Linked DNA regions of Drosophila melanogaster. Changing the gene in region 3 together with the main gene of any one other region gives a genetic interaction. Each region holds a gene or a part of one and is shown on either strand. Other genes may lie near its edges.

What was found. A genetic interaction does not mean that the proteins touch.
Region 1: of upd3 (region 3) and Sam-S, changing one suppresses a phenotype caused by changing the other (phenotypic suppression), as found in Drosophila melanogaster (one study listed by BioGRID).
Region 2: of upd3 (region 3) and gcm, changing one suppresses a phenotype caused by changing the other (phenotypic suppression), as found in Drosophila melanogaster (one study listed by BioGRID).

Annotation. Positions count from the first base shown.
Region 1 is NT_033779.5:105,350-109,902, reverse strand, and holds the start of Sam-S (S-adenosylmethionine synthetase), read right to left. Parts: upstream 3,001-4,553; 5' UTR 2,903-3,000; intron 2,143-2,902; exon of another isoform or gene 2,139-2,142; 5' UTR 2,065-2,138; exon of another isoform or gene 1,557-2,064; intron 1,316-1,556; 5' UTR 1,218-1,315; coding exon 1,094-1,217; intron 310-1,093; exon of another isoform or gene 153-309; coding exon of another isoform or gene 110-152; intron 1-109. Other genes in the region: Nhe1 (Na[+]/H[+] hydrogen exchanger 1), read left to right, coding at 3,261-3,934, 3,988-4,391, 4,448-4,512. UniProt on the Drosophila melanogaster protein: Catalyzes the formation of S-adenosylmethionine from methionine and ATP. The reaction comprises two steps that are both catalyzed by the same enzyme: formation of S-adenosylmethionine (AdoMet) and triphosphate, and subsequent hydrolysis of the triphosphate.
Region 2 is NT_033779.5:9,578,998-9,583,276, forward strand, and holds gcm (glial cells missing), read right to left. Parts: upstream 2,749-4,279; 5' UTR 2,596-2,748; coding exon 2,198-2,595; intron 2,123-2,197; coding exon 1,006-2,122; 3' UTR 568-1,005; coding exon of another isoform or gene 514-567; 3' UTR 501-513; downstream 1-500. Other genes in the region: CG31709 (uncharacterized protein), read right to left, coding at 1-34, 96-450, 514-567. UniProt on the Drosophila melanogaster protein: Transcription factor that induces gliogenesis. It determines the choice between glial and neuronal fates. Also has a role in the differentiation of the plasmatocyte/macrophage lineage of hemocytes.
Region 3 is NC_004354.4:18,275,700-18,283,428, forward strand, and holds the start of upd3 (unpaired 3), read left to right. Parts: upstream 1-1,533; 5' UTR 1,534-1,903; coding exon 1,904-1,906; intron 1,907-3,734; coding exon 3,735-4,184; intron 4,185-4,286; coding exon 4,287-4,484; intron 4,485-7,697; coding exon 7,698-7,729.

The DNA.
Region 1 (4,553 bases), on a different chromosome or scaffold from region 3:
CTACTCTGAAATGGGTTTCAGGGTTTCCAATTTCCGGCTAGTCTAATTATCTATTCTAACAAGTCCGTCACTCATTTATTACAAAAAGACAGGCGATATTAATGTCAACCATTTGGGGTGTATTCTTCTGAATGGCACTCGGCGCTTATCATCACGATTGTATAGGGCTAGATTGTCTAGGGCTAGCTTGCCAAGCCGACTTAATTAGCATTATAAAATAAAATAGTATAGAATAGTAAAAGTAATCAATGCGTAGTATAAAAGGTCGCTCGGCTTATCAACAGCTGTTGTCAAACACACTACTATACTGGTCGCCACTGCTGATATAAACAAACTCTGGGAGGGGCGAAAAGATCGAGCTCGAGCAAAACACGTGGTTGGCAATTTCGGTGAAAAAAATAAGCTTTGACAGCGGTCTAGAAAAATGTAAGGTATGTTTGTGTTGGCCGTTGTTTTGATCGCCATCTGCGATCAAATGAACAAGTGCGTGGACAACGTAGAACAACGTAGAGAATACTTGAATTTCGCATCTCCCATGAGCCACAAGCACATGGTGCGCATGACGTAGTCTCTCTGTACACACATACATACATATGTGAGAGCCGCAAACGATAAAGAACCAGTCTATTAATTGCGTCTGCCCATCCAAGCACAAGGTTTAGCCCGCTGTTGTGCGGGGATTTCAAGAGAAGCCAGCTGTTCTCCGTGGTCCCAGCTTTCCGGCTTGGTCACCGGGCGATGCAACAGAGGCACGTTTTACTAGCTCTTCTTCCCGTTCTCAGCCTCTGTTCAAGTCGTGCAAATTGGGTAGAAATCAACAAAGGTATGGACATAATTTCGTCGCCATTTTGTTAGAGTTCAGGCGGTAAGCAGAAGTGAGTAGACGGTGGAGGTGTGGAACTGGGTATACAGGGAAAGGGACTTCAGACAGAAGGGCCTCAGACGCTAGAGAATCAGTTTGGTCAGGTTATGAGAACTGACAGGCAACATCTCTCACCACGCCCGAAGGGGCATTTGAGATTGTTTCTTTTTTTACACTGACACTATCGGTATGATGCAATAGGAGGCGCCGCAGATGCAATGAAGCACTCACCTGGATGACCCTCGCCAACGGACTCGGAAGTGAACAGGAATGTAGCTCCGTCTTCCATGTCATATGAGTTGCCATTGCTGCCGTTGCATCCGTTGGCGCTATGTCCGTTTGTCTTTTGCGGCATGTTGATGGGTAGTTTGTAATATGTAACTCGAAGTTTGAAGGGGCAATGGGGGAGCAGTGCTATAACCCGAGTTCCGGTCGGCTAAATTGTTGGTGGAGCTGGGGGAACAGAGAGAAAGAGAGGCCACATTAGCGGTTGTTAAAAAACGCTTAACGAAATTGATTTTCCGAACTCTTGCAAAACACATCTATTTTCGCATTCGCGAATCTAAGCTATAGGCCGCCTCGAGGCTGTTGGGATTTTCCGGTATTCGCACACTTTTCGTTATAGTTTTTTTTATATAATCGCCCTTCTTTTATGTTTTTATGCTGCGCGTTTGCCACAATCGTCGCTACATACATGAGACGCACGTTGAGCGGGTTCAAAGCTAAACTAGTCGCTAGGTGAGGGCTCGGTGCTGCTAGCTGTTTAAAATGCGTGTTCGACGTTCTAGCTATTAGTTCAACAAATTATACACACTGATTCTGAGTTATACTGGTTCAGCGACGGCAACCAAATCAGCGGCGCAGCCAACACACGTCCTATCTTAGCGACGGTTCTGAAGAAAAAGAGCGCAACTTTTTAATGCCATTCAGAATTTATACCTCCAACGAGAGAGCGGGCTTTTGCTTATCGTCGCAAACGGAGGAGGCGGTTCTCTTCGGCTGACTCGATTATTATTTTGAGACTTATTTGGGCGCTCTTTAGGGAAACTTTCCTAGCGTTCTCGGTACTCTCAAATGATTTTACTTCTTCAGTATCTCCACGTTTTTGGGTTTTAAGCAGCTGTTCCGCCGCCCAGCGTTGCCACCCCGCTCCGGAGTGAACTGTAGTGAATCTAGATCCAGATCCTTTATTTTATACTCACTGTGGTTTTGAACAAAGGATCAGACAAGATATGGATTATAGTCTCGACTAGCTTCCTGCTCAACCTGCGTTCAACTGCGGATGATTTTTACAGACGAATAATATTTATAAATTTTTGTAGACAGCATTTGAGAAGATGAGTCGGCAAGAAATAAGAGCTTATCAGAACAAAACTATGTGCTACCACGGCAGCCACCTATATACCTAATTTTTAAAATCTGTTTAGCATTGCTCTCTCGGCTTCTCTTATGTACAGCAATTGACATATACATATTCGATGATATAGACAATCGCTACACGAAGCGCAATTCGAAGCGAATTTTTAAACGAATGTCTGTATCTGTTGAAACCCTAGCTTTTCCCTAACATGGAGTGACTGCCCTTTTGGAGATGGATCGTTCGACACTATCTTGTCAAGGAAAGTCGTCAATTAGGGTTCTCATACTATTCGAACAATTTGTGCTTTTGAAAAAGTGCTTACGTCATGCCACAGCCAAGAAGACAAACAAGGTCTGCCAAGATCAAGGAGCCTGGTAATCAGTTTTTGCATGTACATTTTTTAAAATTCTAATACCCACTGAATATAACCGAAAACAACAAGCCCCATTATCTTTCAAATAAGGTGTGACCCCACGGGGCCTAAGAAGATCGCGTGTGCCTGAACGAACAGATGCGCAGGGCACATTATTCTTGAGCACAAATGGTGGGTGCTTGCGAACTGTAGATTGTGGCAATGCATTTATTTTACTGATTTATCGTCAGTTATTGTAATAGCCTTAACTAAACAATTTATCACTTTGCCAATAACAAGGTTTTTTATTATTTCACTTTTCTAATACATATATAATTTTCTTTTTGCCGTAAGAAACGTTCTCAATACGTAGACAAAAATATTTAAACTTAAAATGCTCAATTTTCAAGACACTTCACAAGAGCTATCAGCTACAATGACTGGGCAAAAGCCAATTATTTAAATAAATTCATTATATGGTAAAATATACTGCACGCAATTAAGTGCACAATTTTCTTTTGAATATATGAAAGGCACGCGCCAATAAGCCAAAATGATACGGCAACTCTCCCCGATATACGTCAGATAGGGCGATAAACAGATGTTTGTGAAAAAACAAATTGAACAAATAGTGAAAAGTTAAATGCGAGCGTTAATAGCGACCACGTCACGTTTTGTCGGCAAAAATGAGGGTTTGGGTAGCTTATAGTGCAGCTGCACTCTTACTGTTGGTGCACGCGGGTCCGGAAAGCATCAGTGGACAGGAGGTGCCCCAAAGCAAAACATCAAGCAACACCACCACTACAGATAATAGTAGCTCTATCCACACCGTTTCGGATGTCTTCGTCAACAGTCCGCTTGGAAATGTCACGCCCTCGATTTCTGCATCTGGTAATGCAAGCACCACGAAAAGGGGAAACGCATCCACATTGGTCACAGATCCGCCTCTAATCGATTCCCATGCTGTCGAGCAGGAGCACAACTCCTCACTCTCACTGTTTTTCGTCATCTGCGTTATCATGTTGGGCATCCTGCTTATCCACTCTATGCTCCAGACCGGGTTCCAGTACCTGCCAGAAAGCATTGTGGTAGTCTTTCTGGGCGCCTTTATTGGCCTTTCGCTGAACGTTATGTCTGGGCAGAATGGCAGTTGGAAACGTGAAGAGGTCTTCTCGCCCATGGGCTTCTTTCTGGTGCTCCTGCCGCCCATTATATTCGAGTCCGGTTACAATCTGCACAAGGGAAACTTCTTTCAGAACATCGGATCCATACTGGTCTTTGCCATATTCGGTACAACAATTTCTGCACTAGTCATCGGGGCGGGGATTTACCTGCTGGGCCTGGGGGAGGTGGCATTTCGGCAAGTTTAAAATAAATTGTCAATTTCATTCAATAATTTATCCTAAATTTTAGCCTAAGCTTTTCGGAATCCTTTGCCTTCGGTTCTCTCATCTCTGCTGTTGATCCTGTGGCAACAGTGGCAATTTTCCATGCTCTTGACGTAGACCCCATACTCAACATGTTGGTATTCGGCGAAAGCATCCTCAACGACGCCATATCTATTGTGCTGACTGCATCCATAACCCAATCCGCTAACGTCAATGCTGAGGCCAGCACTGGAGAAGCCATGTTCAGCGCGTTGAAGACCTTTTGCGCGATGTTCTTTGCTTCGGCGGGCATTGGAGTCATATTTGCACTAATTTCGGCTCTTCTTCTGAAGCACATCGATTTACGAAAGCATCCATCCCTCGAGTTCGCGATGATGCTAATGTTTACTTACGCACCTTACGTCTTGGCAGAGGGAATACACTTAAGCGGTATATCAATGTTGTTGACTATGACTCTAAAAGCTAAACATTTTTTTCAACTATAGGTATTATGGCTATACTATTTTGCGGAATCGTCATGTCCCACTACACGCATTTCAACCTATCCACTGTAAGTCATATGATATCCCTATTTTATATATTATTAAAACT
Region 2 (4,279 bases), on a different chromosome or scaffold from region 3:
TGCTGATTTCCACTTGGCTCTAAGCTTAAATAATCTAATAAGAGAGTATTAATTATGCACTTCATTGTATTAGCAATAAGTACAGCTCAACTTACACCGCCCATTGGTATATCGCACCATTACTGACAATGCATTTGGTTCCCTGTTCCCTGTAGTAAGTCCATTTAAAGCTTCCAACGCTCTATCTGTGGTTATAATGTCGGCGTGTCCCCAAAGTGGATTATTTCGTTGTAGCCGTGATCCTGGGCTGATTGGATTCTGTCCATGATGCCTTACTGAGCGCATTGCATTATCACTTGGTGTACGGACTCTGAATTGCATTCTCCTTCTACGATTGCGTCGCCGCGATTTTACCCTAAGGTCTGGAGTTTCCCGATTCGTAATTCCAAGTGCCTGTCCAATCAAATGACGGCGCAAAAATAGCAAGTTAACTAGAGCTCTACGGCGACGCTTCTCAATACAAAATTTGGTTTTATTCATTGTTATTTGTTTAGGCCTTTATTTAGTACTCACAATTGCCATAGTTCGGTTATTTGCACTACATTTTCTAGGGCGACAAGCACCCATTGTTACACGATTTTGGTTGACTAACGAATTTAAACTTGTTGTTGAGGAAAATCCCTAGTTGTATATCCTGCCGCTGGTAATGTTATACTGACAATGATTACGAGCTCCCTTGCTTGACACGTGTCAATTCTCAAAAAAAGGCTGCTTCGATTAAGTTTTTCTTTCAAAAATGTTTATTACTACAAAAAAGTTCATAAATAGGTGGGAAATGTGACTTAAAACTCTATGTGCTTAAGAATACTATTACTCTTACGTGCTCTAAAACTTTGGAATAGCTGGGAAACAAGTACAAAAGTACAAACTAGAAACGTTCAATATATAATAATACACGACCAACAAGCAATGGGAACATGAATGGAAATCAATCAACTAGGGACTAGAACAACGCTTGAGTGGCTCAGTAATAGTAGTTGCGATGAGAGATCTTATCCCGATCCCCTAGCAATAGATGGGATCCGTGCTGTTGACTGGGTGATATGTCGCGTCCATTTGAATGTTCCACGAGTTGTCCACTCCCGTATTGCTGTAGTAGTAGTCGGCGGACTGCATCTGATCCTGCGGCTCCTGTTGATAATTGGTGAGATGCGGAAAAGTTCCCTGTTGCTGATGTTGCTGATAGGCGGTTGCTTCGTCGTAGATGAGATCCACGCCACTGGTCCCTCCGCCATTCAGAGTTGACTCAAACACACTGAAGATCTCCGAGCTGGTTGTGTAGAAACTTGCATCCTGGCTAAGATTCTGGCTTTGGCTTCCATTGCTCACGTCCAGCGAGTTGGGTAGATATCCATTGTAGTAGCCATAATCCTCGGAACAGTAGCCCGAGCTGCTGGTCAAACTGGACGTATCGTCGCATATTTCATACGAAGGCATTCCGCACTGAAGGCTGGAGGAGATTGGCTGGCTGGGATCATAGCTGACTGGTACATGTTGCTGCGGTGAGAGTTGCTGCTGGTATTGTGAGTGCTGCAGTTGCTGCGGTTTGTTCTCCTGGTAATAACTGCCCGTGGAGCTATGCGCTGAGAGAGGTGAGTGGAGCATATCGTAGGAGTACATTCCATTGGCATAGCATGGATCCTCCGTTTCGTAGTGAATCTCTCTATTCCACTGACTGATCACTGATCCTTGTCCTGCTGGGACATATGAACCCTGAGATTGATTAAAGTTGGTGCTATGTGTGGGCGTCGATGTGGGCAGGTAGGTGGTGGGTGGCACCACTAACTCCTGCTTGGTTTCGAGCACATCGGAAGCACCCATCCTTCTGCGCTTGCTCTCCTGGATGGACTGAGTCTTGGCCTGCCGTTTTGTGGGTCTCAGGCTACTCAGCTTGTCGCTCAGCGCCGATTCCCTGGCCAACATTACGGCCAAACTTCGCACACGTCTTCCTCCTGCCAAAAGTCGCCTGGCTTCCGTGGATCCCTTGGCTTCGGGTCTGGGGTGATCGTGGGTGCCCTTGGCCTGGAAATAGATTCCATTTCCGTCCCTGCGCCAGAAGTGGGTCACTGGATAGCCGCAGTGGCCGCGGCAAGCCTGGATTTCCAAGCGACCATTGCAATTTCTGTCAAGAAAAAAAAATAAAAATACCGAGTTAGTTTTGACAATTCTTGGATTTTGTGTTTAGTCAAAAACCCACCTATTGGGACACTGTTTGCCCTGCTGCTTCCTTCTGGCCTTGTCGCAAATGGCGGGTCTCAGATGCACACTGGCTCCATTGGGCAACTTGCACTTGGCACTGCAGAGGAGCACTCCCAGGCAGCTCTTCTTTAGGATATTCACGTTGTGGTTGTTGGTGTTTCGCATGGCCCAACCGCTGGCATGTTTCCTGGCCTCATCACTCTGCACGGAGTAGATGAGCCGGCAATGTCCGTTGGACCAGTCATTGAAATCGTCAAACTCCCCCACCGACGGCATCTTGGAATCGTTGATGTCCCAGTCGATCGCCACCCGGGACTTGGTGGCCGGAGGACTGGGCACAGGCATGGGCACTGGCATCGGTACTGGCATTGTTATAGGCATGCCGTTCAAAACCATTTTTGATGTGTCTATGTAATCGTTAGTTTCAAGTTCACACGCGGTCACTATAGTTTTCCTTCTCAATAGTCTATTACTACTGTGTACTTCTTCTCAACTTTTCTCTGGAGCGACGCGTCCGTTCGCATCGACTGCGCAAGGCTGACTAACTGGGCCCGCTCTGCGCAGCACAGTTAAGTTGCCAGCGGTCGAATCGCACGAGGGTTGCTCGGTCGCAAAGCGGTACGCCCATTGGTCCATGCTGACTTCCAGTTCGGGTGCGCTTGTGTGCGGCTTATCCGCCTTATCCGGCACTCCAGTTTGGGAAATTAGGAGAGTTCCCGAGCAGGTTTGATTGGTAGTAGTGGTAGCAGCAGCTGGAGATGGAGAATTCGTTCTATAGGGAACTGGGAGCTGGGAGAGCTTGAGCACAGGGAGCTGGGAGCTGGGAACTGGCAACTGGGCAGGGAGACGAGTGCTGTGCTGCTCTAGCACCTGCGGTTGCAGCACGCGCTCCACTGGGTAATTGTACGATATGAGAACCAGGGGTTTGAGGCACTCGATGGCAAAGAACACGGCCCCAACCCCAGTCAAAGCTAATTAAGTTCAGAAAAAAAGTTTACAACATCAGTAATGGAAATGGAGATGGGGATGGGGCTGTGTGTGGATGGGGATGTGCTGTATGGCATGGGTTCTGATGGGTACACCTGGCGACAGTCACTGGCAGATGCCAGTGGTCGGGCCTATTTACTTTCGAACTGGATGTGGATGTCGAAATGGGGAGCAAAGTGAAATGGTTGGAGGGCAAGCAGAGTTACGAACAAAATGGAGATGGTTCCAACGAAGCACGGAAAGTAATTTAGTTCAAGGCTTTAAGACTTTTTTAATGCGGACATTAAAGCTGCTAAATCTACTTAACTTCAGAGGTAGAAATTATTCTGTAAAAAAATTTCAAAATCAAACGTAAATTTTAATGGAAATGACTCACAGAAATATAGAAATATTACCACTATATATAGTCACTATTATAGAATTTGGTAAGGCAACGGTATAGCTAACGGAACTACTTCTCACGATCTCAAAATCGATAAAGAAATAAACGTTTGCAAAAAAAGAAACCGAAATGTCGAGCTCCTGCCGATATCTTCAAGATGAAATCAGGGATCTCATAATCGTAAAACACAATTTAGCACGCAAAAAAACGGAAATCAAAAAGAAGAAATCCCATATTGGAAAACCTCCCCTACAAACCCAAAGGCAAATGCCATAACTCACGCATATGAATGAAGCAAAGTTTGCCAAACAAATTCCTTGGGCCCCTTGGCGATCTCAAGTCAGAGATAAACGAAACAAACATAATCATTAAGATGACGAAAGGGTGAGGAAACTCCATAATTTTCACACTTCCACGACAGACCAAATGCCATGCAATTATGACACGAACTGAGCGAGCAACCCGCGGCGCCTTTCTGCCAAGGAGTCGCCCAAAGATCAGGATCGTAGCACGCGATAGGAACTCAAAGGATTACGGCGGACAATGGGAAAGGGTGCTCCGACCGGGACTCGAGGGGCGTTGACACAGAAGAAAGTCATGACGTGGCATATTATGAGGCTGTGCTGGGGAAGCACATCCTACCTGGTCCCAGATTCCCGCACTCAAGGTGGGTGTGTCGCCTTAATGATGCCCGGAATTAACTGTTCCGTT
Region 3 (7,729 bases):
AAGCGTGAACCGTAAACGGTAAACGACAAAACGGAGACGTCGCCACTTTGGCCATGAGTAACGATGAGTGCTCAATTACTTTTCGATTGATCATGGTTTTGGCGCGCGGTGAAATTTAGACCGCCACCCCGCAGTTGCGCCTACCCCCTCTCGGCATCCGCATTCTGTCGACCGGTGGAGCGTAGTCGGCAATCATGAATGAATCGCCGTGTCTGCGAGCGTGAGAGCCCGGCTCGCGGTTGAACAAATCGTGTCGTCATTGACGGCTGTCGGCGGCCGACGGAGCGTATGAGTAATATTCTTGTGAAATTGAACGGAAATAACTGAAATTCATGCCAACCCCCATAAATTGCCGACTATTTGCGGGGGTTACTTCGGAACGGAACAAAACGGAACGGAATGGATCGTTTCGCTTCGGATCGGAAACGATCGTCTCGGAATCGAAATCGGAGAACGGGAGATCCGGAGAAACGGTGAATCGGAAGTGTGTGCCGAGTGAAAGTCATTCGATAAGAGCCAAGTAGCCGCTCATTTCGTTCCCCAGAGACCGGCAAATAGGCAAATTACACATGTTTTGTTTATCTGCGAGCGGGAGAGACAGTGAATAGCTCTCCCAGCGACCTTATCTGGTGGAGATCGGCCCAGTCGACGAATCGATCAATCACTCCACTCCAGTGCGCCGATTATGTGTCATCCCCCAAAGGGGAGCGCTGGAGAGCTGTGAGTATTTCTCATCGTGTTGAAATCTAGCTGGCCTAATCATTCACTAAACGTTTGTATTTTTCACGCCCATTACGACTGGGTAATATTGGTAATAAATCTATTATGTTCGGAATGGCCGTAATATAGAATATTTATGACATTTGTTACTAGTTCACTAACCAAATATTGGTCTCAATCGAATAGCTATTGGATGATTGTACTTGTTGTTGCCTAGTTTAGATGTTATCTCTCATATTTAGTATTATTAAAGTTAACTAAAGTTAGTTAAAGTTATACTTTTCTTCTGCTTTTTTCCATGCTTTCTTCAGCGTATCTTATTGCTCCTAGTTGCTAGTACCCTGGGTACAGGGTAACCCATTGTCCACACCCAGCCGCTATGAGTCGTTTTTGTTTTTTTTTATCGCTCAGCTGTGCTTTTTTATGGCTTTCTCGCGTTGTTTTTGGCACTCGGCGAATGTTTTGAGCGCTTTTCTTGCGATTGCACACTCATGACAGCCGAGAGAGCCTCTCCCTGTCTCTCTTCCGCTTCTTTGGCGATTCGAGCGGAGCGAACATGACCGGCGGACTGGGCGTCCGCCTCCTCATTAGTATGCTCATAGTAACTGAGGAGTTCAGTCAGTCTCCGCCGGCCACAAAAACAAAAAACTAAATATATATACACACATAACCACTGCACGCGAAAAGGCGAAAAAAAAGTGAAGAAACGCTACTGCAAAAATTGTACAAAAAAACAACGCAAAGACGGCGAGAAAGCCACTCCAATCCACTCCACAACACTCCACTCCACGCTCTCCAGCGGCAAGAAATCGACAGCGCTGTTGACTTCGACTTCGATCGAATCGGAATCAAATCATAGCAGACAGTCGAAGGCAGCGCGTCGACACTTAACGCGATAGTTCGTCCAGCCGCGATATAAAGATACAAAGATACGCAGCCAAATTCAACAAATTCAACAAATTCGACAAAGTCGCCTGATTCGCCTGATTCGCCAAATTCGCCAAATCGCGATCGCTTTTATTATTGGTTAGTTTTTTTTTTCGTTTTTTTCCCCGTTGCATTCTGGAAGCTTCTTTCCGGCAAATACACACAAAGAAAAGACTAACAGCGTTACAAAAGCAAAGTGCGTGTCAATCAAGTACGAATTTTTGTGCGGAATTCCCAGCCAACGATTTTTATGTAAATGGTAAGTACAAGTAACTACCGCAGGCGCGTATTTTTTCGGGGATTTTATATTTGCCTTTTCTGCTGCCGATAAGAGAATTCACCTGTGCGTGCTCGGTTTGTTGATAGGTACAGGTGTCTTTCGCTCGATACTTCTGAACCCGCAGAGTTCTTGCCAAGAGCTGCAATGGTCAGGTGAGGTGTCACGTACCCCACACATGATGAAATTGGCCCCAAGGAGGAGGTGTGATGGGTTTAGGGATTGGAGATGGGGATAGGGCTCACAACCGAAAGGGACCATCATCTCCAGCCTCTCATGGGGGAAACTCATTCGTGAATCACTGACACTGTTTGGTGATAGGCATTGAAAACAAGTTATAAATTCATGATGCACAATATGTTAAGTTCATTTTTCCACATGTGAATCATAGCATTTTAAAGTTATTACAATTATGAAAAACCCAAAGTTATTTGAAAACCTATGGACGTTATTTTCGGATGAGTATGACTAATCGTACAGGGGCGACTTGCATTTATTTGCTATTACTATTCTAACTTATTGGGAACTTATTGTTCCATTCAACCACACAACTTATGCAACTAACTTAATAGTTATTGCAACTGTAAAAAAAAACCCTTTTGACGAAAAATGGCCAAAAAAAGAGCGAAACATGTGAAATTAATTTACACGTTTCGTGCCGCGGGGGTGGTGGTGCCAGTGGTGCTGGTGGTGCTGGTGGTGCTGGTGGTGCTGGTGGTGCTGGTGGTGCTGGTGTTGCTGGTGTTTGGCAGGAATTGAAGATTGGATGCGTCAGCGGTTGTCACTACAAGCGTTAGCGATTCGGCACAGACAGGAGGACAAGGTCCGGGCAAAGGGACCGCGATAAAGAGCCGGAGAGCGAAAACGCACGGCAAGAGAGAGTGAATTTCACAAAAGTTTGCAAGACCAATGTTTCGTTGACCATGCTGCTCGATGTGTAGGAGGCGTGTGGAGCGATTGGAGCCTACCCCACCAGACAATATGAGATAGCACCGCCACCGCCAGTGCGGTGGCACCACTATCACCACTACCTTTGCAAGTCGACCTCCACCCGACACACGATGATTCATGATAATTTGGCTAAATAAAGAAATTTATTTTTAATTTGAAATAATTATTTCAGCCAGATAAAGACGGCACTAGCAATGGCCGTAGCTGTAGCTAAAGCGCAAACGATAATAATAACAAATCGCGCATGCTTCGGGCCCCCCAAACAATTGCGATTATATTTATATGTGTGCGTATGGGTTTGCGCATAAGTGCGTCCAGCGGGAATCCCCAAGCAGCCAACAATCATCATAATTCGCCCACTCAGGCACTAACACACACAAAATAACACAAAACAATCGCACCACAATCACACATCCGTACCATCACGTGCGCGAATTTTGGTTTATATTTGGCAAAAGTTGGCCAAGATAATATATAACCAGTCGGTTCAGTTCAGTTGTCCGCGCAGCGTCCGTTAGTCTTGACTTATGGTAATTGGTCCCTCGGCAGGGGGAATACATTTGGCCAACCGAACCCTCTTTTCGGCCAAAGTTTGAGTATGTAAATAACTGAAAATCGAACATACGTATTTGATTTTTTTTTTTTTTTTTTTTTTTTGGTAACTAATAATAGTATAACCTGTTGCTAGACTTTTCTCATGCTAAACACCGACGACGTCTGACGAAGATGTGACGTCAAGAAGTCGTAGTGAAACTCGAGCCATTATGGGTGGGAAAAAAATGAAACTGTGTTATCTTGAGGGCTTTGCGTGTTTGTATAAATTTTGTTTAGCTTATTTCGGAACTTTTTCCATCCACAGACGACAGCTGACCGCCCGCTCGACGTCAGCAGGAGCAGCGGAAGCGGTAGCCGGAGCGGTAACAAAACGGCCAGAACCAGGAATCCAGTGGAACCGCAGCCGCAACCGCCGTTCGTGGATCGACGACGACGCCTGAACAGGAACTGGTCACTGATCTTACTCGCCTTGGCCATGTCCCAGTTTGCCCTCTCCGGCGGCGGTTGTGGCGTCTCAGCGGCGCCCAGTCACCTGGCCACCCCGCCCACTGACAGCCCCTCCAGTCCCATCAATCCCACCAATCCCCTGAAGCACCTACAGAAGCGTTCCAGAGCGGCCAACTTCCGGCTGACCTTCCAGCAGAAATTGAATGCCAGCAGTACGCATCTGGACTGGGAGAACACCTGCAATCTGAAGCCCACGGGTCTGAACGAAACGCACAGCAAGGCGAAACGCTGCAAGAAACGCCAAAGGGTAAGTTTCAAGCGAAAGTTGGCTCTTAGCTGATAAATAAATTGGCACAACTAATTCACACACTATTATCTATATGTATATATGTATTTGTATCTATTTCAGATCCTGCAGAATCTACAGAACCAAACGGGCCGCGAGCTGCGGGGCATCCAGGCCGAGGACAAGGCCAGGATCACCACCAATGCGGACAAGCTGGCCACAGTGAGCACCAAGACTCTGGACATTGTCGAGAAGAACAAGTGGCGATTCTATAAGGGAAACTACAGATTCCTGCCCCGTCTGAATCTCACTAGCAAACAGGTGAGTGTCGTCCATATGCCATAAGCATAATATATGTATGCATATATCGTCATGTGAAGAACTACTGGATCATTTACAAACATCAAACACTCGCGGGGGGTTCTTCTGTTGCCAGGGAGCTTGAGGTGATAAAAAAGAGGGTCACGTGAGGCGTTCGCCCCGTTCACCTGCGTAGGTGCAAACAGGCCGTCACAAGCTAATGGCGAGTGGAGCGGTCATATGAGTCCGAATCCGAGGGAATCGTGCCGCCAGCCGCGAGAGTTGTTGCCATAGTTTGTTTGCGTGATTAAGGGAATTTATCAATCTATATAGAGGGGTATGAAGGAAACTAAGGAAATAAAGATTGAGATATGTATATAGTTCATATGTGCTAGCTTGATGATGGAGTTGTTTTGACAACACTTCCAACAGCAACTTGCATTGAGCACTTAAGTGCCGCCAACTTTTCGATCGCACCTCGTTCGTTTTGTCAGCATTAGCCGGCATTTCGGGACGCCCCATTAACCGTCGATTTGCATTGGTAGCAAACAACAACAGCACGAGGGAAAACATTAGCAATCGATGCCATAACCACATTAAGATTAAGAGCAAATTGACGGCGCGCGCGCTTTTTTTTTCGATTATTGTTTATATAGATCCATCGCGATCCCCCCCAAACCGGCCTTGATCCAGCGATCACGTTTTATGGCCAATCCGTAGATTGGATCGATCCGAATTGAGGCTGAAGCTGAAGCTGAAGCTGTATCTGAATCTGAAAACGAAGTTCAATCCGAATCTCAATTCGTATCTGAAGTGGATAATTTGTTGAATAAACAAAATAAAATCAAGCGGCACATTTTATTTACACTTTTGACAAGTAAACAACAACAAACAGAAGCTAATCAAATTTCGAATTGGATTCGCCACGGACATCTGAATTATGGCGAGAGGAAAATTATGGAGCTTTTCAATTTCGAGACCCTCGAGTTGCGGACAGTTTGATGTTAATAGAGTGGAACCGTTTAGTAATGCCAAATTGTCGGGGTCTGGGAATTCGGAAATATTTTCGCACTGACACGGTGAAATGAGCAAGACCAGTTGAGGAAAAACCCGGAGTGACCGATAGGCCAGTGAATAATGGAAGTAATGGAAGTAATATAGAATGTGGGCTCCGGAATGTGGATGGCGGTACTTGCGAAATGATTGCCACGGAGTACCAGTCGATACGTGACCAAGTATGACAAACGCCGTGCACTAGAAAGGGTCTAGTCCACATTTCAATGAGGTGGATGTCGCTTCGTGAATCGGTCGAGATCGGCTTGGTTGCCCCAACGTGCTAATTCCTTGGTGTCCGGGAAAGTTTCGTATAGGACAGTAATATCTGCAGATAACCAGATGAGTGTAGTTCACTTGGCGTGGCCATAAACAGATACTTTTATGAGATCGCAGGTGCGGCGAAAAATCTCAAGTGTGGTCAAGATCCGCGAAAACCGCCGACTCACTTCGAGTCAGCCAAAAGTCGCGTTCAGAGTGCAAGTGGAGTCTCAAAGGTCGCCACCCCCTGGGAATTTGGTTTTTATTTTTTTTTTTAATTACCCGTTCTGCTAAACTTAGCCAGTCCCATCATAGTTGCCATTCCATTTCATCCATTCATTCACTTAGCCAGCGATTCCACTCAATCGTCTATTCAGGGCGATGAGCAAAGTTTGGCTTTCGCTGAAATTTCTCAATTGTCGTCATAGTCTGGGAAAAGTACCTGGGCCTCGCGGATCACACTGTGAGAAAATGAGGGTAACAATTGACTGCCTTCGCTGCTTATAAGTACTCTTTCGTGTTGAGTTTTTCAGTAGATACCTTTGATCACACACTACTCGATTCGACCAGTCGATCCACCTTTTCTCACTCTGCACCAAGCTCGGGAACTTGCCGCTCGGGATGTGTGTCAATATTTGGCCAATATCGGCTACGTCAATGCCAATTGTGCCAACTAATTGTTGACATCCCCGGAACAGAGTGAAACGGAACCCCCAGATCGGAACCCGATCCGACGACGAGGTGGCAAACGGGACTGATAGAAGAACTCTATATTTAGATGGATCGTTTCGATACCGAGAATCGACGGCCTTTTGACGTCATGCATTCGCTCATACCCACCCAAAAAAAAAAAGGAAAACAACGAATTCGCTGATACCGCAGCGGATCGGTTCGGAAGAAGAAATGACCTTAACGATAATATGTTTGAGTAGTTCACAACGCTCGTTTATTGCAAATGACACACACACGCCGTTTGTGGTCGTTGATCGGGGGGATACGGGGCGCGGAGCGTATACGCGATATGTGATTCATATGAAACAGAGCCGTGGATTCCCCCGAAACTCCAGCGAGAGCGAGCGGGAGCGGGAGCGGGAGCGGGAAAGGGTGAGCGGCGGCATGCGGCGAGCGCGACATGAATGAAACGAAGAGCCAACGTCGACGTCACGAGCGGCCAGCCGAAGCGTAGCCGAGAACTCAAAAAACAGTTACGAGAGAGCGGCGCGAGCGTTCGGCTTGATTTTCACTTTCAGCCGCCGGCCAGATAAGTTTCTGGTCGTTGGGATGAGGGGAGTGTGTGTGCGATGGGAGGGGGGGGGGGGGGGGGTCCGCAAAGGGGCTGGTGGGCTCAGTTCACTCAACCCAAAAAATTCGAACTATAGGATCGACTATATACACCATATGCGATATGGATATCGCAATTTCCGCCAAGGTTTCGCCGTTTCTAATACTTTAATTTTACAATTGGGGATTTTTATTGCAAGCGAGTGCAGAAAAAGGTTTATTCAATAAAGATAACCCCGACCTTCATTCATGGCGATACAAGTAATTAAGGCGTTAAATACTTAAAAATATCATACTTTGCCATATAATTGTTTTATTTTCAATTCTATGCTGATATAATCAAGGATTATGGAGTTGATCTCCAATATGGGTTGGGGTAACTATGATGATTAAGTTGGGAATATATAAGTTTACAAGTTCATGGACAGTTAATGATATAAATAGAGCACTTAATTTAATCTAAAAACTAGTATATATAAAATGGGTGTACAAATATGAATCCATAGATTCTTATCAACAGAGAACCTCTCATTGCAGATCAAAGTTATCAATTAGTCATGTTCCCATTCATAGTATTCATATTTCTTGACAAATCAATTTAACTAACCCGCTTCCAATCTTTTTCCTTGCCCATTCCAGTTGAACCTTCGCCACGCCCATCGCGACCTGCA